Linked DNA regions of Struthio camelus. The protein of the gene in region 2 purifies or fractionates together with the protein of the main gene of each other region. This does not show direct contact. Links are inferred from orthologs where the notes say so. Each region holds a gene or a part of one and is shown on either strand. Other genes may lie near its edges. The genes, in order: AQR and XAB2.

What was found.
Region 1: the proteins of XAB2 (region 2) and AQR fractionate together in Homo sapiens (co-fractionation; 3 studies listed by BioGRID and IntAct, with this or other methods). This does not show direct contact. The link is inferred for Struthio camelus from reciprocal best matches to the Homo sapiens genes XAB2 and AQR.

What each region holds. Positions count from the first base shown.
Region 1 is NC_090946.1:50,541,615-50,557,645, reverse strand, and holds the start of AQR (RNA helicase aquarius), read right to left. Parts: upstream 6,336-16,031; 5' UTR 6,139-6,335; coding exon 6,055-6,138; intron 4,821-6,054; coding exon 4,764-4,820; intron 3,593-4,763; coding exon 3,552-3,592; intron 2,539-3,551; coding exon 2,503-2,538; intron 1-2,502.
Region 2 is NC_090972.1:3,506,824-3,522,705, reverse strand, and holds the start of XAB2 (pre-mRNA-splicing factor SYF1), read right to left. Parts: upstream 5,919-15,882; 5' UTR 5,885-5,918; coding exon 5,825-5,884; intron 1,988-5,824; coding exon 1,839-1,987; intron 1-1,838. Other genes in the region: protein PET100 homolog, mitochondrial, read left to right, coding at 6,123-6,149, 8,588-8,674, 11,972-12,004, 12,233-12,310; PCP2 (Purkinje cell protein 2 homolog), read right to left, coding at 14,258-14,287, 14,934-15,043. UniProt on the Homo sapiens protein: Involved in pre-mRNA splicing as component of the spliceosome. Involved in transcription-coupled repair (TCR), transcription and pre-mRNA splicing.

The DNA.
Region 1 (16,031 bases), on a different chromosome or scaffold from region 2:
TTCCCCTCCTCCTCAAATCCATCTTTATAATTTGTGAATAGTTCCTGAAGTTACCTCTCGTCTAGGTCACTGCAGCAAAACTTGTTAATGGCTGACTCAGATAACTGCTACAAGAGACAGATGAGTTTCTCATTAGGAGGACACACAGATCAGAAGTTTTTCACTTAGCCACAACAGGCAGCCACAGTTCAGTACAAAGTCAGAATACAAATTCATGTTGATTTTCCAGGAAGAAGAAAAACAAGTTAAGTCTGAAGAACATCACATGCATCATTTCCTAGGGTAAGATGCAAATGTTAATTTTCTTAAGAGAAAATTCACAGTATACTATTTTACATTATTTGCATTATTACATACACTATTGGACAAAGCTAGAAATCATCTAGAGAGATTTTATGCTTATAATCTTCATATAAAGGCAATGAAAATACAGCGTGACTAAAATAAAGCATTTATTTTTAGGGGAGTGATTAAGTGATTTCAACAAGGTGAAAAGAAAAGAAAAAACAACAACAAAAAAAAAAAGAACAACCTGTCCCTGACTGAGCAATGGATGTTCAAATCTCCTGCTCACCTGTGACTTCACAGGGTAACTAAACTCAGGGAACAACTAGACACTGGGAAATTGCAGCTTCACAGCAATGGGAACTTTTCTCTTCATTAATATGACACTTTTTCATAGAAGAAAACTGCAAAATTAGAGTGCAGAGATGAAAGAAAATTTGGAGCGAGAGTCTCCCTCCTTTAACTTTTTATTGAAGTAACTATGCAGGATGGTTACTCCTGAAGAGGCAATCCGTAAGTCCATCATCTACAACGGTGCATTTATGCCATGTGCTAATTTAACATCTTGTTGCTACCAGAAAGGGGAACATCCTGCTCCTTCCTAAACCTGAGGCTGCCCAGCCATTCCTTCCTCTTGACACCAGCTCTAACATTTGTTCGGCTCCTCAAGAGCCGACTCAGTTTTCTAGCATGGCTAAAACACCTATTTACTTTTTTCACAGCTTATTTTTCTGATGCCTTGCAGAAAGCTAGTTCAGTCCTTTCAGATGAGACCAGTACCACGGACAGCAAAAAGAAAGGCAGCGAGAGCAAGGCTGTAACCGGGAGCAAAGGACTCAGTAAGAGGCGACACGCATTTCTGCTTTCTGGAACCTCAGTCAGAACGTGTAGCTTCCGAAGGAGCTGAGAGAATTTCACAGGTGCGTATACAAAATGAAACGCATAACACTTCCCAAGGGCTTACGGAACTGGGTAGAGCGCTTGGATCTTCAATAGGAGGGGAGGAAAAAAAACACAAAAAACCCAAAACGCCATACTTCATTTCACCCAAGGACAGCAGTAAACTTCAATATATTTTAATAAAAATAACCTTAAGCCCCTCAAGTAAGAAAAAATGTACATGAACTCTATAATGAAATCTAAAAAATAGGGCAATATCTCATATCTGTGAAGATAGGAGAGTTTGAAATTGCAAGAGGGATAATGAGGGAAAAGAAAATGACTTACAGGACATATGGCAGCAGATGGGGCTATATACCAAAAAGTACTAGCTACATTCAACGTTACATGTTGATAACATGAAGAAAGAGTGTTCACAGAAAAGATTAAAATGCTAGCTGCACATTATTTCTTTGTATAGATATAAACTCCAGGACAGTCACGCTACCAGCATACCATTTGTCTTTGTCAAAACCCACAAACTCTATTTTACGTTTTCCCTGCCACCTTTTCCATTAGTAAAGTATGAAATGGAAGGAAATACCAGTGTCATAAATGAAATACTAAGTATATCCTACTTTTCTAATTAGTGGAACTACTTACACATTTCAGCCTTCACAAAGAAAGCATCCATCCTAGCCAAACACCATCTCATTCTATCTGCCCATAAGATTTGCGATAAAACAGAGCCAAATAAAAGACTAATTACTGTGTTTAAAGACATGTAAATATTGCATATATGTATTTTACATGATTTTACACATGTTTTATGATAAGCTTCCAGAAAAGTTTAAAAGTATCTTAAAACTGTTTCAAACAGATTTCCATTTCTTTTCAGGTGAAGAAAATTTCAGTGATACTATTGCAGAACAATTCTCTTTTTCCCCTTGCTGTAAGAGACACAATGTGAAAACTTGCACCGACTTCAGTGAATTCTGATTTAAGGCTTAATGATGCATCCTGAATTATGGATCCAAGTTTATCACCTGTTTCAGGTATATTAGGTTCTTCTTTAGTGCTAGCAATTCATTTACATTAGAAATTTAGAGTCATAAAGCAAGACCTTCAGCATGTTATTTATGCTTATGAAACTATTCCTTCCTCAAATGAAGTTCTCTTCACTAAATTTGCCTAAGCACCAAACTCGAGGCTTTAGTATGTAGGAACATATGAGTATACCACCTTCAAATTGATTTACTGTTCTGCATTCATTTCTCATGTTTACTTTCACCTGTTGCTACAGAAAAATACCTTAAAAATTCACTCCAAATAGCTTACCTGAACTCAAGAAGCATTATCTTCCTAATAGCAAACCTGAAGGGGAAGGAAGAGGGGGAAAAAGATCAATCAATCAACACAAAAAAAAAGCCTCCACGCCCATCTTAGCTACATGGAAAATGACTACCTCTTCCTTTATTTGGTTATATAATGAAACCTGTACCATTCATTTAGAAGATTTTTTCCCCCCTACAGGTTTTATGCAAGAGCAACCACTTGAATGCAGAAGCCACTCCTGTAACTTCTACACTGTGGAAGCTAGAAGTTCATGTGTATTCATTAAGGAATCAATCAACAAGTTCACATAAAGGCATCCATCTAGACCTTTTAAGTATGAAGATACCACTTCCAACAGTCTTTAAGTCACAAATCACTAGCAGCTGAGAGTGTTCTGGGAAACCATGACTGGATACTTGATTGGTTCCTACATACTGGCTATTACATAACGGTATCACTTCTTAGTCACTGCTCCAAACCTGCATGGCAATTCTTAAATTACTTTCATAAAACAATCATAAACTGAATTCTCTCCAGAGCTGAAACCTCCCCTGAAGAACTGGAAAGAAAGACAGCTATTACTACAACTCTCGTCTGTATAGCAGCTGTAGAATATAGTTTAATGTGACATTTTGTCTCCCCTCTCTAACACTGCAATTGAATGGAATAAGACTTGAGCAGAGGAGCGTGTTGCTGCTAGCTTTTAACTGATCTTTTCTGTACATAACTGGGTGGCAAAAGAAGGGCCCAGCCATATAACCATTGTGACAACAAAAAAAATAAAACAACACACATCACCCACGCAAGGATTACAACAAGCAGAGTAACAGCTTAAGGAACCAATTACATCCAACCCTCATATTTAAGGACTGTGAGCTCGTGAGTTTTCTTTTTACCCCATTTGGTCTCTGAAATGAGATATCATCCATTAAATGGCTCAAATGTGCTTGAGTTATTTTCATCTTAGTGTATTTTAAAGTAGTTCAATAAACATTTAAGACCATTTCAGTAGAGAAAACGTTGGAATACTTGTCTGTTAGTGACGTACTTACTTTGACCTGACAATTTCTTTTGCATACACATCTTCAATAACCTATGGGAAAGAATATTTCAAAAGGAATTTTAAGAAGTTTACATATTTAATGACATGATTAAAAATACATTCAAGTATTCTATGCACTCAAAGTTACTCTGAATTAGTTACTCTCTGTGTAATGCTATTTGGTCAAAAATGTCATAACAGATATGTCTCAGTTCTGAGGAGACCAAAAGCTCCACAGACAGACATCCGCACTAAAAAAATTAATCAGCTAAGGGGAATAAAAAGCACACGATGGTAGAGAACTGATAGGACCTTCATTCAAGTTATTCAGAAGGAACAACCTACACCTCACTGAGATTTGATACACAAGTCAAACAGCTATGTATACCTTTTTATGGCTCATCTTTGGTCTATTGCTGAATTTAAAGAATAGTCTTGAAGATTCAAGTTTGTATCACCCCAGGCATCAATTGCCACTGTTTCTTATAACTGACCAAATCCACACTGTTCTATATTTTCCAATAGGACTGAAAGAACTGTAGACAATTCATCTGCACTATCTGTTGCGGTAGGCACATTCTGATATCACATCTGCTGTCAGAGTTGTAATTTAGCTGATCATCTACATTCTAGCTCTAACAATCACAGATGCAAATATTACCACAAACACTGTAAAGAAAGTGGGTAAACTAAGGCAAGAGAGGACGGTTAAGCCAAATATCCACAAGGGAATGAAAACTAACATTTGAGAAGCCTGCACTACAGAAAACCAACGGAGAACCAAAAACATTATGCCAAATTTTAAACATTCACAATGCAGGTAACCACCAAAACACCACTTCAGTTCTCTGATCAAAACCCTCTGAAGAAGTTTTTAAAAGGAACCCTTACAGCTTAGTGTTACCTGCATCTTTGGTCCTTCTTTGATTTCTGACAGTGCCCCCTTCTCAAACATCTTTTTCTCCCTCACAAGCTCTCAAGCTAAAACGAACAGAATAAATAGCATGCAAAAGAACTGCACTGCTATAGCGCATCTTCAGAACGGTACCTATGTGTATAAACCACAAACAACTTAAGCAACAGCTAATAGCGTGCTAAGCAACTGTTGACTTTCCGAGTAGTCTCCTACACCCTTACAAAAATAAGCATCAGTTTAGCATGGCAGAAAAGTATTGCTTCTTATTCTTTTACAGCGCGGTACAATACCACTAAAAATATTTACCTTTGAATCAAAAGGCAACTTTTTCTTCACATGCGGAGCCCAGTATTTGTTTGCTAACTGTAAGGAAAAAAACAAGTTTGAAATACATTAAACAAACACACTTTCAGTTGTCATATGTTGTTCTATATAACACTCTAAACACTTTGGATTTGGCTGTGTATTTCCCTAGTTTCTTGCTTAATTTCAACTTACAGTAACTACATACAAACGTTATGTTCTCCAACAACAATAACTTTCAACTATTTAAGATTCTGTGCCTAAAATCTTTACAATAAAGGTGTGATGCCTCATAAAAGTTTCAGTTGCACACAGTGCTGTACTACAAAAGCAAACCTGTTTTTCTTAAGTTTCCCCTAGCAAATCCCTGAAAAATCTACAGGGATCTTTCAGGAGGCTGCAAATCCCTCTATTGAAACAAGTAATCCCACATGAAAAATTAAGACTTCAGAGAACTCTAAGCTTGTACACTTCTGAATCAGACTGAACTGGACAAGCAGCTGCTGCCAGGCTTTTTTATACAATGCAAAGATTAGAAAATTTTAACTAAATGAGTACACCCCACTAAAAAAACCAAGGGCTATATGTAAAGCTCCAATATTTCCAAACTATTCACTGTAGCTATTCCCTTTGTTGCAACAAAACTATTGAGCTATGCTGCCAAGGGCTGTCTTTATTGAAACTTATTTATGTGGTTGAAAAGAAAGCAAAGCAGTATTTTCAGTATAAAAAAAAAAAAGCTGTATAAAACCACTTAGAACACTGAACTACAAAAAATTTCATACAGTTTTTTGTGTACTATGACAATCCTCATTTATTTTGTAACATTCCTACTTTTTTTCTTCAAGTCTCTCTAGCCTGAAAACTCGTCGGGCACACACTCTGCCCTATGTAATCCAGGTCTAAAAAAATACCTGCTCGCTTGCGACAAAGCTAAACCCTTTTTCCCTAACACCGCAGGCTGCAAAGCCCGTTTATACAGCGAGATCGTAGCCACTGGGGCCAACGATGAAACAAGTTCTGCAAACGCAGAAGGGAGCCGGAGCGGCCTCACGGAGGCACAGCGCGGCCCGGCCCGGCACGACGCAGGGCGGGCGGGCGGGCGAGCTCCGCCAGGCCGCACGGCCCCGCGCAGCTCCGGCTCCGGCCCGAGGCGAGCAGCCGCCGCCGCCCGCCTCGCGCGCGGCCCGGCTGTTACCGGCCCGGTGACCAGCCAAGCCGCTGGCGCCCCGCGGCCCACCAGGCACCCAGAGCTCCCCCGGCCCGGCCCGGCCCGCTCCTCCGCCGGCCCCACCTGTGTCACAAACTCCGCGTTGATCTGCGACACGGTGGGCGCCACGATCTTCTTCGGCGGCGCCGAGGCCGCCGGCGCCGCCATCGCGCTACGAGCCCGCGCCGCCTCGCACGCGCCGGCCACGCCGCGCTCTCGCCCCCCTCGTTCCCCGCACAGGTGGCGTCGCCGCTGTCCCCTTGCTTCCCCCCCCTCGCCGCCCGGGAATGGCGTGTCCCGAACACGGGCTCGCGCGCCCAGAGCGCCGGAAGTGCGGAAATAGAAAGCGGAGCGGAAACAGCGGCCGGGTGACGGGAGCCGAGCGCGGGGGGCGGGGGGAGGGCGCGGAGCGCTTCCGGGGCACGGAGCGGGCTAGGGCGGCCGCCAGGCGGGGCGGGGCGGGGCGGGGCAGGGCAGTGGCGCCGCCGGGTCCGCCGGGCAGCGGGAGGGCCGCGGGGAGGGGGGAGGAAGCTGCAGTGGGCGAGCGGCCACGGAGTGGGGTCAAGGGAGAGCTGTGACGAGGCCGTGAGCCCCGGAGAGCCGCTGTGGCCCGCCTGGAGCTTCGCGACGTGGCGGCCGCCGGGAGCGGGGCGGCGGTAGCGGCCCGCCGCGGACAGCGGGCGGAAGGCCCCGTGCCGTCGCCAGCCTCCGCTCTGCCAGATACGGGATGTAAACGTGGTGGTTCTCAGCGCGCACTCGGGCGCGCCTGTGTGGGAAATGCCTGTGCGTCGGTTTTAGGCGCACTGCCCAAGCGAGATTAATTAGCCTGGGTGCTGCCATACTTGGCTGCACGTAGCAGTAGTCCAGACTAACGTGTCCGTATTTACAGTCCCTAAAATACTTCTGGCAGCACCAAAATGCATGGAGAAAAGCCTAGAAGGGAATACTGAAAATGTAGGTCAAGGCTCTCGGACGATTATATTTGGGTTTTTAAATTTTTTTTTTAATTTATTTCCCTGTTTGCTAGTGTTGTTTCTGTAACATAAATTATGCATGATTATGCAAGAGAAATAGCCAAAAGCTAGTTTGATAAAACCAAAGCTTGTCCCAAAATTACAGGGAAAGACTCTAGACAATGGATACAGTGATGACAGTGAAGTATAACATTTCAGACAGACTGCAGAGAGACCCAGAAGTAACTTAGGAACTCATCTGAAACTTTGAGGTGGGAGCAATTTGGTTATCAACGTTATCAGCCACACGCTGGCAGCTTATTGTTTCTAATTCTTTCCTATCCATTATCTGTCTGAGTTGGAGGTGTTCATTCTCTACCACCTTGCAGCTAATGATACAGGTAATCTGTATGAGGTGGTAAGAAAGCTCCTCTTTTGTTTTTTTTTTCTTAGTTTTCTGCAGAGAGGCAGTGGCAGTTTTACCCCTGTCTTGCTAGGTGGATAGATAAGTCTTTACTACGTTTCGGAGTCACTCTTAAGGCCTGTATCCAGGCCAGACTGCCGTGCTACGTCATCCCAATAGTGTTGCCGTATGACTAGGCCTAGATGAAGGCAGAGGCTGTGCCTAGAAGCACGTGTGACTCAGTATATTAGTACATTGCTAGGAAAACCTGAAAAAGCTGTTCAAAAGACTGCCGTCTGAAAAGACTGTAAAGGCAGAGGCACTTAAGAACACGTCAGGCTTATGGTTGCCGTTATGCCTGCTCTTCAAATGCTATATAAGTATACCTAGTGACTACTGCTGTTATTATTTAGAGCAAAGGTTTCAGTCCAAATACTATACAAGAGCTAATATGGAAAAGATCTGTTGTTAACATCAAACAAATGCCACCAAGATCTAAGCATAGTGCATGTTGTTTCATATATAGATATATATCTATAACATGGAAAATCTGTGGAGCAGAGGAGAGGCAAAAGGGCGAGAAGGGAAAAGTACATGCTTACAGAAACCAGCAATTTGGTTATGATTTAGAATGGTTTGCAATTAACTTATTCTATTTAGTAAACAGATTAATTAAGGAGGAAATTAACATAATCCCTAGAGAAGTTACAGTGCTTTGTTTCTGTGCTCATTATCCAGCACCTGCCACTTGAGTACTTTAAACTTCCAGGCAGATATCATTGAAGTCTGTTTGAATATGACCTCCTTTGTTTTGATATCAAGGTGATCTCCATTTCATTTCTTCAAGAAGAGGTTAAACTAAATATTCTTTTTGAAGTTGAATTAGAATGTACAGTGGGAACGGAAAAAGTAATGACAGTATCTCGACTAGGATCAGACAATGGCTGCATTCAAATAAATACACCTATTCCATTCCTGTGCTTTGCAAGATCCAGAAAATCTAAGTTCGCTATATGAAAACAGGTAAAATCAAAAAGTTTTCAAGAGCTAGTGATAATAATTTATGTAAACAACAAGGATTGAGCACTATCCAGTCTAATAATTAAAGATATGCAAATACAAAGCAATTAAAATACACTTAAACCAATGTACTCTGACATTTAAACTGTGATGAAAATCAGCAAAAGTCAAATGTTTTGATTTAAAGTAATCCACCTAGAGGCTGCAGCTTCATGATTGACTTAGGTTTATCTAATTCTGTACCGACACCTAAACAGGCGGTTACATTTGAGCTTTCTCCATTGCTTTGTATGATTGCTAGCACTTGCATTCCTGGACAAATGTAAAAAACATAAGTACAATTTACCTATGCTCTAAGCTCGCTGGATGAGCCTTGTTAGCATGTTGGTGTACCTTAGCCAATAAGTTGGAGAGAACACTGTTAAGTAGTAGCTTCCAGAATTAACTTCCCCTATACCTAACCACCTCAGAAATGAACATAGATAGCTTATGTTTGCATGTACCGTAATGAATAGTAATATAACAGTTTATCAGTTTGGCAAAAGGAGAGTACTTCTACTGCCCGTAAGTAGATTCGAGGGGTAAATGGCAGGAAGAGAAGGAACTACTGAAGGAACAAATCGGTGCTGAAAAAGAGGGCAAAGGAACAAAAGCTACGTACAAACAGGCTGAAAATAGGAAGGCTTCTAAAAATGGCTTTCAGGTGGGAGCCGTAAGTTTAACTTATGCTTAAGACATGGTGTGATATGTTTAGGAGAGATTAGGTAATGGTTACTTGGGATCTCAGTTGATAGTATTTTATGACCTTAGATTTCTTTTCCAGTAACATGCATTAAGTGTCACCAATGCAGCCTACCTCTCTCTCTTTTTTTTTTTTTTTTTTGGAACAATTACCATGCCAAAAGGTAGGCAAGGCAAATAGATTTTGGACTTGGGCTGGTAAATTTTCCCAGATGGTCTTGCATGGCTAAGTTAAATTATTCCAGCTGTCCAACAGTTGGCTTCTGTTTATGATAGATCATCAGTCTGTGAGTGTTAAACATCTCTCAGAAACCTTAGATTTCCGTATGGTATCTAAACTATGAAAGCTCAAGGAGGAATCTGTATTTACCTAACTTTTGGCCTTTGGGTGTCCCAATGAGGAGGTTAGTTGTCCTAGATTTCTCTGCAGTCAATGTAGAGTCAGAGACCCTTCCAGAAGGCACATCAGTGCTCATGTAAATGCTCTGACTCATTTCCTGGAGGAGCCTCTGCTGATAAAGAAAGCTAAAGTTCGATGCCTACTGTTAGGCAATATGATTACATCCCTTGATGGCAATGCCAAGTAAAGTGGTAAAGATCTCCTCCCTACAAAGGATGCGTTAAATATTAGTCTGTAAGGGACTATTGTTTAGTTACAGAGTACAATGATGGTAGGACTATAAAAGAATATCAAAAGTATTAAGTAATGCTTTGGCAAGATGTACTTCCAAGTATCAAGAGCAGCTGAACCTTTGAAGAGGAGTTGTGGTGAGATCAGACATACTGAGATCAGACATACTGGTACCAGTGTGGTGCTTATGTCCCCACCTGTGACTCACCCAGCTCACAACTGTCTGTTAAGACTGCTACACTCAGTTTCTCCCAGAGTGGAGGCATGTCTGTCACTCTCCACCTTAAAATGCTTTGTAGTCCAGGGGAAAAAGGAAACGCTGCACTCCGTCTTCCCCAAAGCCTGCTGTGAACTTCCCGATCTTTCTGTACTCGTTGACTTAATGCGTCAAGAAAATTAAATATTCTTTCTCTTCAAAAATCTGTTAATTCATTCATGAAGACATATATTATTTAAAAAGTCACATATTTGAGGAGATGCAGTTTTCAAGACTATTATTCATTTCCAGGCTGCATATATTATTGGTCAATTTATATTCAATGCTGCTTTCTTGCTTAACTAGCCCTTCTGGTTTTGGATGCTTGCCTTTCTGTGTAATTGTACCTAGCAAAAATATTCTCTTCCACTTTTACTTTGTAAACTGTACAAGCCAAGGTCATAAGCTGGCAATGTGATGATTTTCTAGCAATAAGAACTCAAAAAAAAAAAATCCATAAATCATTCTAATATTAATTGTGATTGCTTTAGGTTTTTCAGTGTGACATGAATTAAAGACAAATTCTGATGTTTTGGCCCTCTAAAACTTAATTCAATAGTTTGATGACGTTTCTGTGAGTCAGAAATTTCTGAGCTTATGACTTGGCTGTGTTGCTGACCTTTTATATGTTGATGCTGTTATTTAATTATTAACTCATAAAGCAAGAGCATTCTCAATTTGCAGTGTTTTGGATTTTGCACATATTGTGTAAGGGGTAAATATTCTTCATTCACTTTTAGTAGAAAAAAGCCTCAATAATATACACCTATGACACTATTTATAAATACCACATAGTATTTTAAAATTACAGCCTATTTTCACTCCATTTTCAAGTCATACTAATAGGGTTGTCAAGCAAACAGTCACCTGATTGAAGACTGTGGAGTTTTGCTAACTGGAAACATATTTTTTAATTTAAATCCAAGCATAAGCAGTCCTGTTAAAGAAGTCAGATGCACTAAAGTAGGAATAAAAAGAAACCATACAATACAGACATTAGTTGCCATGGTTAGAGAGCCAGAGGGACTCTTCTTCTAGCCTCTCTGAATGTACTCTAGAAGTGCTCCATCACCTTTTTCAGGATGTAATCTCTCTGGACTAAAAGCGAAATCCCAAATGAGGCAGAAAGCTCCCTAAAGACTCATGGAGCTCAGGCAGGGGCTGACGTTCCTGTGCTAGGTTCTCCACTTTGGTTGTGGAGCAATCAAGCTTTAGAAATTCACAATGGAGGTTGCAGACAGCAGGTGGACTTAGGAGTTTTAAAGGAGGAATGTGTATCCTTTTAACTTCCAAACTTCTCCACTAGAAAATACTCAGGGGGGCAGCCTTGACTAGGTTTCACTTGAGATATTAACCAGGTTAATTAGGATTATTTCTAGGGGTAAGAACCTAAGGCAGTCCTACTGTTGGGGCCACAATACTTACCTACCGATTAGAATGCTTCGCCAGTTGAACTAGATTCTGCACCTTATATTTCTAATATAAAAATTGTTTCACTTTTCGCTGTTCTTCTTTCACACAAATCCTCCAGGCACTTATGCTTTGAGTCTTATATCGCTCAAGCTTCTTAGACATTCTAAATAAAGCCTCCATTAGGAGATGCAGGTTCCACATGAATACCCTGTTGCACCTCTATAAACTCTAGTGGGATAGCTTTGTTCCTGAGCAAGCAACAAACACCACCACTTCCCTGCATAGGCATGTGCATTCTAGCCACCAGATTCTTTCAAAATCATAAACAGGCAACAGCTGACTGCTACCCTTCTAAGCAAACATTGTGCTAGGGACAGAGGGTACCCCATATGCTGCTGCCTGGTCACTGCAGCAGAGTAACGGCAGTTTACCTAGCTCTTTGATGATTTGGAATTACACGGTGGCTGCTGTGACAACTGCCTGAAATCCAAGCAGCCAGGGCAGCAGAGCTGTTGGAGAGTCCCCTAACAAGATGTAATTGAGGATATTGGAAGTTTCTTGCCTGAGTGGAGAGTGTGCTCCCTCATTGCTGAGGATCTACTGGCAGCTGACCTGCTGTTCCACCGGTAAAAGTTGAAGCTAGGCCTAGAGTTCCAGTGCATGATGTCTCCCAAGGCTTTGGTGTGCTTTATTTCTTGATCATGATGCCGGGGTGCATAGACCTCTTCCTTTCAGTCATTGAATATAGCTGTACTTCTGCTCAGCTGTAGTTGCTACTCTTTTCTATTCATGTTGAATGCCTCTAGTGTTTTTTTTTGGACCTTGTGGTCCAACATAACTCAGAGGCAAAGGGAATGTCTACATTCCTTTTTCCAAAAGTGATCTGTCATTGTTCTGACAGTGAATTCATCTGTATGCAGAAAGGGAAAAAGGCAAGGCAGAGAGGGAGACAGCTGCATTAAGCTTTCCCAGTGAACAACTTGGAGACTTAAAGGTATCTAGGTGGTTGAGGTGAGTTAATAAGAGTCGTGCTGCTTACGATGAAGGTCTAGATATCTAGAGTGCATCTCACTGGTATACGATTTTTTTTTTTCTGGCCTAATACAATTGCATTATACTAAATACATAAGCTTAGCTTTAGGGGAAGTATCTAACTACACATTGGATACCTCAGCTTAGGGCAGGTGCATCCCAGCCTGAGTGACATAAGCCATCTGTTTAGTGGCCTTTCTGTGAAGCAAGACTGTAAGGCTCAGGAGACTTCAGCTCTTTAAAATCAGCTTTTATCTCTAGCTTCTTGACATTTACACATAAGCACAAGTGTTTTGAGAGGTATCCCTCTGAGGATCTCCAAAATGGAAAGCTCCAGACATGAGAAAGTTCAATAGGATGGTCTCATCATGCATATTTACAAACTTGCACATGCAGCTTTTCTTTTAACCAAAGAAGGAAAGTGACTATAAATGCGCAGCATTTTGAGGTATTAATTGCAAAGCTAGATGATAAGTTTTGAAAGGAGATGGTGGCATGAAGGGCATGGAAATGGAATAATACATACACTATTCAAAGAAGACCAGGAACCTCTTCTGTCTCTTACCTGTTCAAATGATACATCAAATACTTTGATTTTACCTGATCTCAGGTAAATAAAATTCAGAAAGCTTTTCAAAAAAGATCACATGAATCTTCTAAGATGTTAAAAGTTTATTCCTTATTCCTTTGGTTATGATATATCTTTCATAGCAGTTAATGTTCACATAAATTAAATGTTCTGCCTGTTCATTATAATTTTAATTCAATCTCATCATATTGCTTTTACTATTGTATTTATGTGCATTCTTTTGCTCCAAGACTCTGTTACTGTGTTCATCTCATTAAATATGGGTACCCACTCAGTAAATATGTGTACTTTCAAATATGTGTACTTCCACTCAGTAAATATGGGTACTTTCAAAAATGATGCCTCGGTTTAGTAACAGATGCTTCTTAAAATATTTAGAATTTTAAAGTGTAAAGAAGCCGTCAGTAGCATTCTGATTTGTGTATAAATATTTATTTAGCACACGTTCTGGCCAATGTACTGCCCTTGATTTTTGTGCAAAACTTACAGTAACTTCAATGGAAATTCTGAGCTCATGACTAGAGAAGAATATGGCTAATTCAGCAACCCAGCTGCTTTTGTATCCCAGAATAGCAAGCAATGCCTCCAGTGAAGGAGGTGGGGAAATGAGCCTTAATATCCTTCCCAGCTTTCTGTTGTTGGGGACACGTTTGGCTACCAGATCAAGTTAGAGCAGTCTTTGGGCTATTCTAATTCTCTTCAGAGATTTTTAGCGAGATTCCTGTCAACTGGAGCAAAACAGTGGTAAGAACCTAAGAAGCCAGTGGCCACTTCTGAGCGCTCCAAAAATATATGCTAGAAATCCTGTGGGAGGCAGTTATGTGATAAATTTCCTATGGGGAAATTTCTTTCTAGATACATAGCACAGCTTATCCTTTTTAAATGTATAGTTTTTAGCTTTTCAAAAATTTCTTCTTTTCTTGTTTAGTATTTACTTGTACTACTCTAGCTCTCCCAGAAATCAGGAATTAGTAGCAGAAATACTGTATCTAGCAGGAACTCTTCACTGGTAGGAAAATCACCTAGACAACCTCTTAGTAAGCTTCGTAGAACTGTTAAGTCTTACACAACGTGTGAGTAGAAAAAGCTGTTCAGCTACTCCCGTTATCACAAAACATGATAATATTTCAGAATGACCTTTCAAAGTAATATGACTTTGGTTTAGTTATGTATATAACTGGCTATACATAAGCTCAAATATCCAAAGATAAGACCTCATAAGTTTAAGTATTTAATTGAATATATTACTCACATACAACTACATTCAAAATCATTACAGTTGCAAAATAAGCACGCTTTAAGAAGCATCAAGCACAAAGTTTCCAGAGCAAGTTTAATTTGCTTTTTTGGATATGCATTATATTGTTCTAAATGACAGTACACCAAGCAGAGAGTTTTCTGATAATGAGCTCCTCCCTGTTAAGTGTGCAGCTCTATATATCTTACCTTACTTGCTGCATGCTATTCAAGTGCTGTTCTGAATTACTGATTTCCTTTGTTCTTTTCTCAAGGAAAATTATTAGCTATATTAGCTGAGTACTATGCAAATATTAGCTAATTCTATTTTTACAAAATCTGTAGAACGGTAGTATTGTCCCCATTATAATGAGGGGAGATTGGAATGAGCTTATGGTAGGAAAAGACTCAATGACAGCTGCTTAACTTTAGATGCAGTGCTTTACAGTATATTGTAAATTCAAGTACAGTGTCCATTGACTTCAGCTGAAGCTATAAGAAGACAGTACAACTACAAGTCACAGAAAAGGTCTTAAGCTTGTTCCCAGAAAGAGAGGAACAAACACTTAGTGACAAATTGCAGGAAGTCTTCTTCATATGTTTTGCTTAACATTGTGTTAAGAACTTTTCAGCAAAACTAGGGAGAGGGTCTAGTTTTTAGAGCAACATTCAGTCTTAGCAGACTTTCCCTTTCTAGTTTGGCAAGTTTCATGCCATTATTATACACTTGCTTATAACAGAAGGCAGTTCTACACTAACATCCAGATTTTTGTTCTCAGCTATTGGTAAAACGTGTCCATGACGTTTTCTTCGGCAGCTCTGTGTAATATCAGGCAAAGAGCTAATTTTTTTTTTGCCTTACTATTTGCTTTCTGCGGATTCCTAAACTCTGTATTATAAGCCTTAATGTTTTTTGGCTGTGTATTAGCCAAAATGACATCCAGTATCAAAAGATAAAACAAGGCTATCTTTCTTAACCGTCTTGACATCATAGGCTCAACTTTTTAGGGAAGCTTTTCACCTTAGAGAGCACCTGAATTACATATACCCTGAAGTCAGTAACCAACTCAGGTGGTTTCCTACCATCCCGGTCAAAGGAGCTCTGAGGTGCCTTAGACAAAAAAACCCAATAAAATGTATGCTGCTTGATGCGTTTGCAGAAGCAATGCTAACAATTCAGCATTGCAAGCGTTGTCCCTCCCAAGCTACAAATCCACAGCGTCAATCCCCCCCCCAAATATTAATGTGAGATATATCTGTCTGATGGAACTTCATTGCTGAAATGAGATTCTAAGACAAATCATTTCCCTTCTACTAGTGCCAGCATGAGGAGTGTTATGAAAAGTTAAATTTATTTGCAGAATCACTGGAAAAGTAGATGCTCAAGCACATATTTCTCACAATATAAGAAAAAATACAGATTGTAGAGAAAGCTGAAGCTTTTCTAGTACACAGCATAAAACTTACCAAGAGAGAACAATTCTAAGATGCTGAGAGGTATCTCCAGTTGTCTTGTAGCTATGCACAGGATTTCTTAACAGATACCCACATACAGCTTTCATCCTTACCTTTGCCCATATTTTCTAGGCTTTCAGTAGGCATTTCCATTAATATGGCAGGATTTTAAGAGAGAACAAAATGGCAGTAAAACAGCACACTTACTGAAAACAGCAAAGTTGATACTGGGGTAATACTGAAAAACAATTTCTTAACTTTTAATAGTTTCTCTTATTGAAAAAAACAACTGTGACATAAACTAAAACATTACAAAACAAGTATTTATAGCT
Region 2 (15,882 bases):
GGACGTCCCCACCATCCCACCACCCCGTGCCCCACGGGGGACTGTCTCCATCGCCCCGCGCCCCACGGGAGGGGACATCCCTGTCACCCTGTGCCCCACGGGAGGGGGGACAGCCCCATCACCTCAAGCCCCACAGGGGGACCATCCCCCTCACCCCGTACCCCATGGGGGGACATGCCCATCAGCCTGCGACCCATGGGGGGACATCCCCGTCACCCCATGCCCCACGGGGGGGGGACATCCCCGTCACCCCGCGCCCCACGGGGGGGGACGTCCCCGCCACCCCGCGCCCCACGGGGGGGGGGGGGGACGTCCCCGCCACCCCGCGCCCCACGGGGGGGGGGGGGGGACGTCCCCGCCACCCCGCGCCCCACGGGGGGGGGGGGGGACGTCCCCGCCACCCCGCGCCCCACGGGGGGGGGGGACGTCCCCGCCACCCCGCGCCCCACGGGGGGGGGGGGGACGTCCCCGCCACCCCGCGCCCCACGGGGGGGGGGGGGACGTCCCCGCCACCCCGCGCCCCACGGGGGGGGGGGGGACGTCCCCGCCACCCCGCGCCCCACGTGGGGGGGGGGGGACGTCCCCGCCACCCCGCGCCCCACGGGGGGGGGGGGGGACGTCCCCGCCACCCCGCGCCCCACGGGGGGGGGGGGGGACGTCCCCGCCACCCCGCGCCCCACGGGGGGGGGGGGGACGTCCCCGCCACCCCGCGCCCCACGGGGGGGGACGTCCCCGCCACCCCATGGGGGGGTGACGTCTCCCTCACCCCGCGCCCCACGGGGGGGGGGGACGTCCGCCTCACCCCGCGCCCCACAGAGGGGGACGTCCCCGCCACCCCACGCCCCACGGGGGGGACGTCCCCCTCACCCCATGGGGGGGTGACGTCCCCCTCACCCCGCGCCCCACAGGGGGGGGAACGTCCCCCTCACCCCGCGCCCCACGGGGGGGGACGTCCCCGCCACCCCGCGCCCCACGGGGGGGGGGGGGACGTCCCCGCCACCCCGCGCCCCACGTGGGGGGGGGGGGACGTCCCCGCCACCCCGCGCCCCACGTGGGGGGGGGGGACGTCCCCGCCACCCCGCGCCCCACGGGGGGGGGGGGGACGTCCCCGCCACCCCGCGCCCCACGGGGGGGGGGGGGACGTCCCCGCCACCCCGCGCCCCACGGGGGGGGGGGGACGTCCCCGCCACCCCGCGCCCCACGGGGGGGGGGGGGGACGTCCCCGCCACCCCGCGCCCCACGGGGGGGGGGGGGACGTCCCCGCCACCCCGCGCCCCACGGGGGGGGGGGGGACGTCCCCGCCACCCCGCGCCCCACGGGGGGGGGGGGGACGTCCCCGCCACCCCGCGCCCCACGGGGGGGGGGGGGACGTCCCCGCCACCCCGCGCCCCACGGGGGGGGACGTCCCCGCCACCCCATGGGGGGGTGACGTCTCCCTCACCCCGCGCCCCACGGGGGGGGGGGACGTCCGCCTCACCCCGCGCCCCACAGAGGGGGACGTCCCCGCCACCCCACGCCCCACGGGGGGGACGTCCCCCTCACCCCATGGGGGGGTGACGTCCCCCTCACCCCGCGCCCCACGGGGGGGGGAACGTCCCCCTCACCCCGCGCCCCACGGGGGGGGGAACGTCCCCCTCACCCCGCGCCCCACGGGGGGGGGGGGGTGACGTCCCCGCCACCCCGCGCCCTGTGGGAGCCGTCCCCGTCACCCCGCACCCCATGGGGCCCATCCCCGCCACCCCGCGCCCCACGGGGGGGGGGACATCCCCATCGCCTCGCGGGGGGCCGTCCCCGCCACCCCGCGCCCCACGGAGGGGGGGCCGTCCCCATCGCCCCACCTGCCCGGCAGCTCCTTGAGGGCCCTCTCGTAGACGAGGTTGAGGCCCTGGCGCGGCCCCTTCTGCTTGGCCTCCACGTAGCGCAGCCAGCACTTGACCGAGAAAGGGTTGCGCAGGATCTCCTCCTCGTACTGCAGGTCCTCGTCCTCCTGCGGGGACGGCGCCGCGGTGACGCAGCCCGGCGGGGGCGGCCGGGGACGGGGACGCGAGGTGGGACGGGGACGCGGCGATACGCGTGTGAGACGGCACGGGGACGCGGGGACGGGGACGCGGGCGCAGCGATACACATGTGAGATGGGATGGGGACGTGGGGACGGGGACGCGGGGAAGCAAAAATGAGACGGGACGGGGACACGAGCACGGGGACATAGCGATACAGCTGCGAGATGGGACAAGGACGGGGGGACGGGAACATGGGATGGGGGCGTGGGGACGCAGACGTGAGATGGGACGGGGACACGGGGACGCAGCGATACAGATATGAGATGGGACGGGAACATAGGGATGGGGACACAGGGACGGGGACGTGGGGACGGGGACGCAGACGTGAGATGGGACAGGGACGACGGGGACATGGGGACGCGGGGACACAGACGTGAGATGGGACGGGGACACGGGGACGGGGACGCGGGGACGCGGACGTGAGGTGGGACGGGGACACGGGGACGGGGACGCGAGAACACAGATGTGAGGTGGGACGGGGACGCGGGGACGCAGACGTGAGATGGGACGGGGACGTGGGGACGCGGACGTGAGGTGGGACGGGGACGTGGGGACGCGGATGCAGACGTGAGGTGGGACGGGGGCATGGGGACACGGGGACGCAGACGTGAGACGGGACGGGGACACGGGGACGCAGACGTGAGATGGGACGGGGGCACGGGGACGCAGACGTGAGATGGGACGGGGGCACGGGGACACGGGGACGCAGACGTGAGATGGGACAGGGACGTGGGGACGGGGACGCAGACGTGAGGTGGACGGGGGCACAGGGACACGGGGACGCGGACGCGAGATGGGACGGGGGCACGGGGACACGGGGACGCGGACGCGAGATGGGACAGGGACGTGGGGACGCAGACGTGAGATGGGACAGGGACGTGGGGACGCAGACGTGAGGTGGGACGGGGCCACAGGGACGCAGACGTGAGGTGGGACGGGGACACGGGGACGCAGATGTGAGGTGGGACGGGGGCACGGGGACGCAGACGTGAGGTGGGACGGGGCCACAGGGACGCAGACGTGAGGTGGGACGGGGCCACAGGGACGCAGACGTGAGGTGGGACGGGGCCACAGGGACGCAGACGTGAGGTGGGACGGGGGCACGGGGACGCAGACGTGAGACGGGACGGGGACACGGGGACATGGGGACGCAGACGTGAGATGGGACGGGGACACGGGGACGCAGACGTGAGGTGGGACGGGGACACGGGGACACGGGGACGCAGACGTGAGATGGGACAGGGACGTGGGGACGGGGACGCAGACGTGAGGTGGACGGGGGCACAGGGACACGGGGACGCGGACGCGAGATGGGACGGGGGCACGGGGACACGGGGACGCAGACATGAGATGGGACAGGGACACGGGGACACGGGGACGCAGACGTGAGATGGGACAGGGACGTGGGGACGGGGACGCAGACGTGAGGTGGACGGGGGCACAGGGACACGGGGACGCGGACGCGAGATGGGACGGGGGCACGGGGACACGGGGACGCAGACATGAGATGGGACAGGGACACGGGGACACGGGGACGCAGACGTGAGATGGGACAGGGACGTGGGGACGGGGACGCAGACGTGAGGTGGACGGGGGCACAGGGACACGGGGACGCGGACGCGAGATGGGACGGGGGCACGGGGACACGGGGACGCAGACATGAGATGGGACGGGGACACGGGGACACGGGGACGCAGACGTGAGGTGGACGGGGGCACGGGGACACGGGGACGCGGACGCGAGATGGGACGGGGGCACGGGGACACGGGGACGCAGACATGAGATGGGACAGGGACACGGGGACACGGGGACGCAGACGTGAGATGGGACAGGGACGTGGGGACGGGGACGCAGACGTGAGATGGGACGGGGGCACGGGGACACGGGGACGCAGACGCGAGACGGGACGGGGACACGGGGACACGGGGACGCAGACGTGAGGTGGGACGGGGGCACGGGGACACGGGGACGCGGACGCGAGATGGGACGGGGGCACGGGGACACGGGGACGCAGACGTGAGGTGGGACAGGGGCACGGGGACACAGGGACGCAGACGCGAGACGGGACGGGGACACGGGGACACGGGGACGCAGACGCGAGGTGGGACGGGGGCACGGGGACGTGGGGACGCGGACGTGAGATGGGACAGGGACACGGGGACGCAGACGCGAGACGGGACGGGGACACGGGGACACGGGGACGCAGACGTGAGGTGGACGGGGGCACGGGGACACGGGGACGCAGACGTGAGATGGGACGGGGACGTGGGGATGCACACGTGAGGTGGGACGGGGCCACAGGGACGCAGACGTGAGGTGGGACGGGGACACGGGGACGCAGATGTGACACAGGGACGGGGACGACGGGGACGACGGGGACGCGGGGACGAGACAGGGCTGGGCCACGGGGACAGAGGGGAGGGGGCTGGGGACAGGCGGAGAGGAACGCGAGGGGCAACGGGGACGCAGCAAGGGACGTGACAGGGGACGGGGGGAGGACAGGCAGGCGAGGGGACGGGGACAGCAGGGGACGCGGGGGGGCGGGGGTGCAGAGGGGGCGTGGGAGGGGGACGCGGGCACAGCAACGCGAGGGGGACGAGGGCGGCGACGGGAGGGAGCGCGGGGCGAGGGGGGGGACGTGGGGACACCGGGGGGGACGGGGAAGGGACAAAGAGAAGGGACACGGGGACACTGAGGGCACAGGGGGAGGCGGGGCGGGGGGGGACACGGGGGGGACGTGGGGGGGGGGGCGCGGGGACACCGGGGGGGACATGGGGATGCAGGAAGGGGGACAAGGGGACACAGAGAGGGGACGCGAGGACACCAAGGGGGACACGGGGATGTGGGGAGGGGGACACGGGGGGCGTGGGGACACCGAGGGGGACGGGGGGACGCGGGGGGGCGCGGGGACACCGAGGGGGACGGGGGGACGTCCCAAAACCGGGGAGCCCCCTCTGGCGCCCCTCCCCCACCCGGGGTGCCCCTCCCCCACAGGCTCCCAAAACGGGGGGTGGGAGACCCCCGCCCCTCCCCCACCCGGGCGCCCCTCCCCCACAGGCTCCCAAAACGGGGGGAGGAGGGAGACCCCCGCCCCTCCCCCACCCTGGCGCCCCTCCCCCCACCGGCTCCCAAAATGGGGGGTGGGAGACCCCCCGCCCCTCCCCCCACAGGCTCCCAAAACGGGGGAGGGGTGTGGGAGACCCCCACCCCTCCCCCCACAGGCTCCCAAAACAGGGGGGGAGGAGGGAGACCCCCCGCCCCTCCCCCACCCTGGCGCCCCTCCCCCCACCGGCTCCCAAAATGGGGGGTGGGAGACCCCCGCCCCTCCCCCACAGGCTCCCAAAACGGGGGGGAGGGAGACCCCGCCCCTCCCCCACCCGGGCGCCCCTCCCCCCACAGGCTCCCAAAATGGGGGGTGGGAGACCCCCGCCCCTCCCCCCACAGGCTCCCAAAAAGGGGGGGGAGGGAGACCCCCGCCCCTCCCCCCACAGGCTCCCAAAATGGGGGGTGGGAGACCCCCGCCCCTCCCCCCACAGGCTCCCAAAAAGGGGGGGGAGGGAGACCCCCGCCCCTCCCCCCACCAGCTCCCAAAACAGGGGGGTGGGAGACCCCCCGCCCCTCCCCCCACAGGCTCCCAAAACGGGGGGTGGGAGACCCCCGCCCCTCCCCCACCCGGGGCGCCCCTCCCCCACCGGCTCCCAAAAAGGGGGAGGGGGGTGGGAGACCCCCCCGCCGCCCCCCCGGGGTCTCCCGCCCCCACTCACGAAGCGCAGCTCCGCCCGCCCCGCGCCCGCCGCCACCGGCGGCGCCTCCGGCTCCGGCATCGCCGCCGCCGCCGCCGCCCCGTCCCTCCCGCGCCCGCTTCCGGCGCGCCGCGATGACGTCACGCCGCGCCGCGCGCTCATTGGCTGCCGCCGCCGCCGCCGCTTCTTCCCCTCGCCCCGCCCTTCCCCACCCCTTCCGCCCCCTCCGCCAATGGGCGGCGCCGCTGCTCGGAGCTCGACCAATGGGCGGCGGGCTTGTTGCGGCGGGCGGGGGCCGGAAGCGGGGAGCGGAGCCGCCATGGGGGTGAAGCTGGAGGTGTTTCGGGTGGGTGAGGGCGGAGGGGGCGGGGGGGGGCGACAGGGCCGGGGGGGTGACGGGGGGTGACAGGGTCGTGGGGGGGCAGTGGGGGGTGACAGGGGGGTGACAGGGCTGGGGGGGTGACAGGAGGGTGACAGGGCTGGGGGGGTGACGGGGGGGCGACAGGGCCGGGGGGGTGACGGGGGGTGACAGGGTCGTGGGGGGGCAGTGGGGGGTGACAGGGGGGTGACAGGGCTGGGGGGGTGACGGGGGGGCGACAGGGCTGGGGGGGTAACGGGGGTTGACGGGGGGTGACAGGGTCGTGGGGGGGCAGTGGGGGGTGACAGGAGGGTGACAGGGCCGAGGGGGGGTGACAGGGCCGGAGCGGCAGTGGGGGGGTGACGGGGGGGTGACAGGGTCGTGGGGGGGGCAGTGGGGGGTGACGGGGGGGTGACAGGGCTGAGGGGGGTGACAGGGCAGTGGGAGGGTGACGGGGGGGTGACAGGGTCGTGGGGGGGGCAGTGGGGGGTGACAGGGGGGTGACAGGGTCGTGGGGGGGGCAGTGGGGGGTGACAGGGCCGAGGGGGGTGACAGGGGGGGTGACAGGACTGGGGGGAGGCAGTGGGAGGTGACAGGACTGGGGGGGCAATGGGGGGTAACGGGAGGTGACAGGGCTGAGGGGGGTGACGGGGGGGTGGCAGGGCCGGGGGGGTGACGGGGGGGTGACAGGGCCGAGGGGGGTGACAGGGCCGGGGGGGCAGTGGGGGGTGACAGGGGGGTGACAGGGCTGGGGGGGTGACGGGGGGGTGACAGGGCTGGGGGGGTGACGGGGGTTGACGGGGGGGTGACAGGGTCGTGGGGGGGGCAGTGGGGGGTGACAGGGGGTGACAGGGCCGAGGGGGGTGACAGGGCCGGGGGGGGCAGTGGGGGGTGACAGGGGGGTGACAGGGCTGAGGGGGTGACAGGGGTTGACGGGGGGGGTGACAGGGTCGTGGGGGGGCAGTGGGGGGTGACACGGGGTGACAGGGCTGAGGGGGGTGACAGGGCTGGGGGGGTAACGGGAGGTGACAGGGCTGAGGGGGGTGACGGGGGGTGACAGGGCCGGGGGGGACGATGGGGGGGCGACGGGGGGGTGACAGGGCCAGAGGGGGACGATGGGGGGGGTGACAGGGACGGGAGGGGGGCGGATAAGGCCGAGGGGGGCAGTGGGGGGGTGTCCCCTGCCCTGGCGGGTGACACTGGGGACATCCTGGGTGACACTGGGGAGACTGTTGTGCCCTGGCAGCGGTGACAGCGACACCGGGGGGGGGAAGGGGCTGCCCCACCCCGGCAGGGTGACACCAGGGGACATCTGACACTGGGGAGAGGGGGACTGTCCTGCCCGGGCTGGTGACGCTGGGGACCCCGGGACACGTCCTGCCCAGGCAGGGTGACACCAGGGGACATCTGGCACTGGGGGGGGGGGACCATCCTGCTCCTGTGGGTGACAGTGGGGACGCCTCATGAGGGCAGGGTGACACTGGGGACGTCCTGCCTGGGCAGGGTGACACTGGGGACATCCCACAAGCTCAGAGTGGCGCTGGGGACGTCCTCCCTAGACAGGGTGACACTGGGGACATCCCGCAAGCTCAGGGTGACACTGGGGACATCCTGCCCAGGTGGGGTGACACTGGGGACGCCGCGCGAGCTCAGGGTGATGTTGGGGACGTCCCGCCCAGGCAGGGTGACACCGGGGACACCCTACAAGCTCAGGGTGACACTGGGGACGCTGCGCGAGCTCAGGGTGACGCTGGGGACGTCCCACCCAGGCAGGGTGACACTGGAGACACCCTACAAGCTCAGGGTGACACTGGGGACGCCGTGCGAGCTCAGGGTGACGCTGGGGACGTCCCGCCCGGGCAGGGGGACACCGGGGACGCCCCGCAAGCTCAGGGTGACACTGGGGACATCCTGCCCAGGTGGGGTGACACTGGGGATGCCCCACGAGCTCAGGGTGACGCTGGGGACGTCCCGCCCGGGCAGGGTGACACTGGGGACACCCTACAAGCTCAGGGTGACACTGGGGACGTCCCGCGAGGGCAGGGTGACACCGGGGACACTCTACAAGCTCAGGGTGACGCTGGGGACATCCTGCCCAGGTGGGGTGACACTGGGGACGCCGCACGAGCTCAGGGTGACGCTGGGGACGTCCCGCCCGGGCAGGGTGACACCGGGGACGCCGCGCGAGCTCAGGGTGACGCTGGGGACGTCCCGCCCGGGCAGGGTGACACCGGGGACGCTGCGCGAGCTCAGGGTGACGCTGGGGACGTCCCGCCCGGGCAGGGTGACACCGGGGACACCCTACGAGCTCAGGGTGACGCTGGGGACGTCCCGCCCGGGCAGGGGGACGCTGGGGACGCCCCCGCGAGGGCAGGGGGTGCCCGGGCGCTGTCCCCGGCCCTGCGGTGACGTCCCCTCGTCCCCAGATGCTGCTCTACCTGTCCTTCCCCGTCAGCATGTTCTGGGTGTCCAACCAGGCGGCCTACTTCGAGGAGCACGTGGTGCGCAGGAAGGTGGGTGCCCGGACGCCTGGGCCCCCGCCGCCGGCGACGGTCCCCGGGGTGCCCGGACGCCTGGGCCCCTGCTGCGGGGGAGGGTCCCCGGGGTGCCCGGACGCCTGGGCCCCTGCCGCAGGGGAGGGTCCCCAGATGCCTGGGTCCCTGCTGCGAGGGAGGGTCCCCGGGGTGCCCGGACGCCTGGGCCCCTGCTGCGGAGGTGGGTCCCCGGACGCCTGGGCCCCTGCCGTGGGGGAGGGTCCCCGGGGTGCCCGGATGCCTGGGCCCCTGCCGCCGGGGAAGGTCCCCGGACGCCTGGGTCCCCACTGCGAGGGAGGGTCCCCGGGGTGCCCGGACGCCTGGGCCCCTGCCGCAGGGGAAGGTCCCCGAACACCTGGGCCCCTGCTGCGGGGGAGGGTCCCCGGGGTGCCCGGACGCCTGGGCCCCTGCTGCGGGGGAGGGTCCCCGGATGCCTGGGTCCCCACTGCGAGGGAGGGTCCCTGGGGTGCCCGGACGCCTGGGTCCCTGCTGCGAGGGAGGGTCCCCGGGGTGCCCGGACGCCTGGGCCCCTGCCGCCGGGGAAGGTCCCCGGATGCCTGGGCCCCCGCTGCGAGGGAGGGTCCCCGGGGTGCCCGGACGCCTGGGCCCCTGCTGCGGGGGAGGGTCCCCGGATGCCTGGGTCCCTGCTGCAAGGGAGGGTCCGCAGGGTGCCCGGACGCCTGGGTCCCTGCCGCCAGGGAAGGTCCCTGGACACCTGGGCCCCTGCTGCGGGGGAGGGTCCCCGGGGTGCCCGGACGCCTGGGCCCCTGCTGCGGGGGAGGGTCCCCGGATGCCTGGGTCCCTGCTGCAAGGGAGGGTCCGCAGGGTGCCCGGACGCCTGGGTCCCTGCCGCCAGGGAAGGTCCCTGGACACCTGGGCCCCTGCTGCGGGGGAGGGTCCCCGGGGTGCCCGGACGCCTGGGCCCCCGCTGCGGGGGAGGTCCCCGGATGCCTGGGTCCCCACTGCGAGGGAGGGTCCCTGGGGTGCCCGGACGCCTGGGTCCCTGCTGCGAGGGAGGGTCCCCGGGGTGCCCGGATGCCTGGGCCCCTGCCGCCGGCGACGGTCCCCGGGGTGCCCGGACGCCTGGGCCCCTGCCGCCGGGGAAGGTCCCCAGACGCCTGGGTCCCCACTGCGAGGGAGGGTCCCTGGGGTGCCCAGACGCCTGGGTCCCTGCTGCGGGGGAGGGTCCCCGGACACCTGGGCCCCTGCTGCGGGGGAGGGTCCCCGGGGTGCCCGGACGCCTGGGTCCCTGCCGCCAGGGAAGGTCCCCGAACACCTGGGCCCCTGCTGCGGGGGAGGGTCCCCGGGGTGCCCGGACGCCTGGGCCCCTGCCGCCGGGGAAGGTCCCCGAACACCTGGGCCCCTGCTGCGGGGGAGGGTCCCCGGGGTGCCCGGACGCCTGGGCCCCTGCCGCCGGGGAAGGTCCCCGGACGCCTGGGTCCCCACTGCGAGGGAGGGTCCCCGGGGTGCCCGGACGCCTGGGCCCCTGCCGCCAGGGAGGGTCCCCGGACGCCTGGGCCCCCACTGCGAGGGAGGGTCCCCGGATGCCTGGGTCCCTGCTGCGGGGGAGGGTCCCCGGGGTGCCCGGACGCCTGGGCCCCTGCCGCCGGGGAAGGTCCCCGGACGCCTGGGTCCCTGCCGTGGGGGAGGGTCCCCGGGGTGCCCGGACGCCTGGGTCCCTGCTGCAAGGGAGGGTCCCCGGGGTGCCCGGACGCCTGGGCCCCCACTGCGGGGGAGGGTCCCCGGGGTGCCCGGATGCCTGGGCCCCCGCTGCGGGGGAGGGTCCCCGGACACCTGGGCCCCCACTGCGAGGGAGGGTCCCCGGATGCCTGGGTCCCTGCCGCGGGGGAGGGTCCCCGGATGCCTGGGTCCCTGCTGCGGGGGAGGGTCCCCGGGGTGCCCGGACGCCTGGGCCCCTGCCGCCAGGGAAGGTCCCTGGATGCCTGGGTCCCTGCTGTGGGGGAGGGTCCCTGGATGCCTGGGCCCCTGCCGCGGGGAAGGTCCCCGGACACCTGGGCCCCTGCTGCGAGGGAGGGTCCCCGGATGCCTGGGCCCCTGCCGCGGGGGAGGGTCCCCGGACGCCTGGGCCCCCACTGCGAGGGAGGGTCCCCGGATGCCTGGGTCCCTGCTGCGGGGGAGGGTCCCCGGGGTGCCCAGACGCCTGGGCCCCTGCTGCAGGGGAAGGTCCCCGGATGCCTGGGTCCCTGCTGCGGGGGAGGGTCCCCGGGGTGCCCGGACGCCTGGGCCCCTGCCGCCAGGGAAGGTCCCCGGACGCCTGGGTCCCTGCTGCGAGGGAGGGTCCCCGGGGTGCCCGGATGCCTGGGCCCCTGCCGCCAGGGAGGGTCCCCGGACACCTGGGTCCCTGCTGCGAGGGAGGGTCCCCGGACACCTGGGCCCCCGCTGCGAGGGAGGGTCTCCGGGGTGCCCGGACGCCTGGGCCCCCGTTGCGGGGGAGGGTCCCCGGACGCCTGGGCCCCTGCCGCCGGGGAAGGTCCCCGGACGCCTGGGCCCCTGCTGCGAGGGAGGGTCCCCGGATGCCTGGGCCCCTGCCGCGGGGGAGGGTCCCCGGACACCTGGGCCCCTGCTGCGAGGGAGGGTCCCCGGACGCCTGGGCCCCTGCTGCGGGGGAGGGTCCCGGGATGCCTGGGCCCCTGCCGCGGGGGAGGGTCCCCGGATACCTGGGCCCCTGCTGCGAGGGAGGGTCCCCGAACGCCTGGGCCCCCGCTGCGGGGGAGGGTCCCCGGACACCTGGGCCTCTGCCGCCGGGGAAGGTCCCCGGACGCCTGGGCCCCTGCTGCGAGGGAGGGTCCCCGGACACCTGGGCCCCTGCCGTGGGGGAGGGTCCCCGGGGTGCCCGGACGCCTGGGTCCCTGCTGTGGGGGAGGGTCCGCGGGGTGCCCGGACGCCTGGGCCCCCACTGCGGGGGAGGGTCCCCGGGGTGCCCGGATGCCTGGGCCCCTGCTGCGGGGGAAGGTCCCCGGACACCTGGGCCCCCGCTGCGGGGGAGGGTCCGCAGGGTGCCCGGACGCCTGGGCCCCTGCTGCGGGGGAGGGTCCCCAGACGCCTTGGTCCCCACGGCGGGGGAAGGTCCCCAAGGCCACCTGGATCCCCTGGGTGCCATGAGATCCCATGGTTGGGGGGGGGAGGGTCCCGGCTGCAGGGGAGGGTCCCCGGATGCCTGGGCCCCCGCTGTGGGGGAGGGTCTCCCGGACGCCTGGGTCCCTCGGCCGCCCCCCCCCCCCCCCCCCCCCACCGACGCCGCCTCCTCTTCCGCAGAGGGAGATTTTTCCGCCGGACGACGCCAACCGGGTAAGACGCTGTCACCCCGTGTCCCCAGGCTGTCACCCCGCTGTGTCCCCCGTCCCCCCCCCAGCGTGGGTGCCGGTGGGGCTGGTGGGGGGGGGAACGACACGGGGTGGCTCTGCCCGGCCCCTACGGCTGCGCCGCGGTGGCCGGCGCGTCCCCACCCCCCCCCAGCCCCGTCCCAGCCCCGTCCCCGCGCGGTGCCACCCGTGGGTGTCCCCTGTCCCCCCGCAGCGGAGGCAGATGCAGGAGCTGAAGAAGCGGGTGCAGAAGATGCACGAGGAGAAAGTGCTGCGGGCGAGCCGGGACTGAGGGCGTCCCCCGTCGTCCGTCCCCCCCCCCCCCGGCGGCGGTGACGGTGGCCCCGTGCCAGCGCCGTCAACGGGGACCGAAGGGACGCGCCCCGGCCGTAGCGGTGACGCGGAGGACATGCCGCCGCCACCTGCCGCCGTGGGCACCTCCTGATGCCGCCGCTGGGGCCGTGGCGGTGACACCGTCGCCGTGGCCGTAGCAGTGACGGAGGGGACGCGTGGTTGTGGCCTGATGCCGTCACGGCGTCCTGACGCCACCGCCATGGCCATAACGGTGACGGAGGGGACACGTAGCCACAGCCTGACGCCGTCACGGCGTCCTGACACCACCGCCACGGCCATAACGGTGACGGAGGGGACACGTGGTTGTGGCCTGACACCGTCACGGTGTCCTGACACCACCGCCATGGCCATAACGGTGACAGAGGGGACACGTGGTTGTGGCCTGACACCATCAAGGTGTCCTGACGCCACCGCCGCTGTGGCCATAACGGTGACGGAGGGGACGCGTGGCCGCCGCCTGACGCCATCACGGCATCCTGACACCACCGCCACGGCCATAATGGTGATGGAGGGGACACGTGGTTGTGGCCTGACACCGTCAAGGTGTCTTGGCACCACCGCCATGGCCATAACGGTGACGGAGGGGACACGTGGCCACGGCCTGACGCCGTCACGGCATCCTGACACCACCGCCATGGCCATAACGGTGACAGAGGGGACACGTGGCCGCAGCCTGACGCCGTCACGGTGTCCTGATGCCACCGCCACGGCCATAACGGTGATGGAGGGGACGCGTGGCCGCCGCCTGACGCCATCACGGCATCCTGACACCACCGCCACGGCCATAACGGTGACGGAGGGGACGCGTGGTTGTGGCCTGATGCCGTCACGGCGTCCTGACACCACCGCCACGGCCATAACGGTGACAGAGGGAACGTGTGGTTGTGGCCTGACACCGTCACGGCGTCCTGACACCACTGCCACGGCCATAACGGTGACGGAGGGGACGCGTGGCCACAGCCTGATGCCGTCACGGTGTCCTGATGCCACCGCCACGGCCATAACGGTGACAGAGGGGACACGTGGCCGCAGCGGCCGCGTCGGTGACGGAGGGGACGCGGGGCGGCATCCCGTCCCCGTCTCAGCGTCCTCGTGTCATCGCCGCGGCCGTGTCCCGCTGCCACCGGCACGGCCACGATGGTGACGGCAGGGACACGCGGCCACGTCCCTGGCGGAGGGGACGTGTGGCCGGGGCCAGCTGCCGGCGCCGCTCCCTGGGGGCTCGGGCTGCCACCCTGGGGTGCTGCGGTGCCACCCGGGGTGTCCCCACGTTGTGTGTGTGTGTGGGGGGGGGAAGTGGGGACTTTGCGGTGTCCCCAAACCCCAATAAATGGTGATGGGTCCTTCCTGCCTTGCCCAGCTGCCACGTTTGTCCCCCCCCCCCGGTGCCACCGAGGCGCCCCGTGTCCCCCGGCGCCACCCGCCAGCCCTGGGTGCCCACGTCCCCTAGTGCCACCGAGGCGCCCCGTGTCCCTGAGTGCCACCAAGGTGCCCCACGTCCCTTGTGCTATCCACCACCCCGAGCGTCCCGTCCCTGGATGCCGCCCAGCTGTCCCCTAGTGCCACCCCCTAGCCCGGGGTGCCCGTGTCCCCCAAGTGCCACCTGCCAACCTGGCTGTCCCACGTCCCCTGGTGCCACCCGGCTGCCCTATGTCCCCGAGTGCCACAGACCAGGCGGGCTCGTGCTGGGGAACCGCCGGGGAGTTTATTTTGGGGGGGGGGGGCGGAGACGGGCACCGGGGGCACCCTGGGACAGCGGGGGACAATGACGCTGGGGACAGTGGCTCGGTGGCTCCTTGCTCCAGGGCGCTCACTTCTGCGGGGGACATGTGGGTGGCAGCACCCTCCCCCCCCCAGCTCCGGGGGGGGGGGTGACAGGGGGCCATCAGGGTCCCCTGTCACCCTTGGGTGCTCCCTGGGGGTGGGGGGGTTGAGCAGGGGAAGGAGCAGGGACCCCCCCCTTCCGGGACCCCCACTTTGGGTCGCCCCCACCCCTAGATGCCCCCCCAGACCCTAATTCCGCCCCCTCAAATCTGGGTGCCCCCCCATTCTCCTCCACCCATAGGTGCTCCCCCCACCCCCTGGTTCCCTCCCCCCCGACCCCCCTCAGCTGGGTTCCCCCCCGGGTGCCCCTCCTGGGTGCCCCCCACCCTGGTCCCCTCACCAGACACCCCCCAACACTTGGGTTCCCTCCCCCTTGGGTGCCCCCCACCCCTGGGTACCCCCCCCACACTCCTAGGTGTCCCCCCCCCAGGCCCTCCCACCTGGGTCCCTCCCCTCGGGTACCTCCCACCCTTGGGTGCCCCCACCATACCCCCCAACACTTGCGTTTCCCCCCCTCGGGTGCCCCTCTGGGTCCCCCCCAGGTACTTCCTCTCCCGGGTCCCCCCCGGGGGCCCCCGCACCCCTGGGTGCCCCCTGCGGGTGTCCCTCCCCCTCAAGCCCTCCCCTCCCCCGGCTACTTCCCATCCCTGGGTGCTTCCCCCAGGTGTCCCCCCCCACCCCACCCTTTGGGTGCCCCTCCCACCCCTGGGTGCCCCGCCCCCGGGCGGCGGGCGGACCTTGGGCGGGGGGAAGCCGGGCAGCTGCGCCACGGGCAGCCGCTGGTCGTCCATGCGGCGCGCCTGGGTGTGCGCCAGCAGCTCCAGCAGCGCCTCCACCCCGGCGCCGCCTGCGCGGGAAACGCGCCCACGTCACCGCGGCGCGCGCGCGGGAAACGCGCCCACGTCACCGCGGCGCGCGCGGGAACCGGGCGCGGCAACGCGCCCGCGGGACCGCCTCGCCTGCGCGCGCCCGCGCTCCGAACGCGCCGACGTCACCGCGCCACGCCCCCCACCTCCGCCCCGCCCGCGCTCCGAACGCGTCGACGTCACCGCGCCACGCCCCCCACCTCCGCCCCGCCCGCGCTCCGAACGCGCCGACGTCACCGCACCACGCCCCCCCACCTCCGCCCCGCCCGCGCTCCGAACGCGCCGACGTCACCGCGCCACGCCCCCCACCTCCGCCCCGCCCGCGCTCCGAACGCGCCGACGTCACCGCGCCACGCCCCCCACCTCCGCCCCGCCCGCGCTCCGAACGCGCCGACGTCACCGCGCCACGCCCCCCACCTCCGCCCCGCCCGCGCTCCGAACGCGCCGACGTCACCGCGCCACGCCCCCCACCTCGGCCCCGCCCGCGCTCCGAACGCGCCGACGTCACCGCGCCACGCCCCCTCCACCTCCGCCCCGCCCGCGCTCCGAACGCGCCGACGTCACCGCACCACGCCCCTCCACCTCGGCCCCGCCCGCGCTCCGAACGCGCCGACGTCACCGCGCCACGCCCCCCACCTCGGCCCCGCCCGCGCTCCGAACGCGCCGACGTCACCGCACCACGCCCCCCACCTCCGCCCCGCCCGCGCTCCGAACGCGCCGACGTCACCGCGCCACGCCCCCCACCTCGGCCCCGCCCGCGCTCCGAACGCGCCGACGTCACCGCGCCACGCCCTCCACCTCCGCCCCGCCCGCGCTCCGA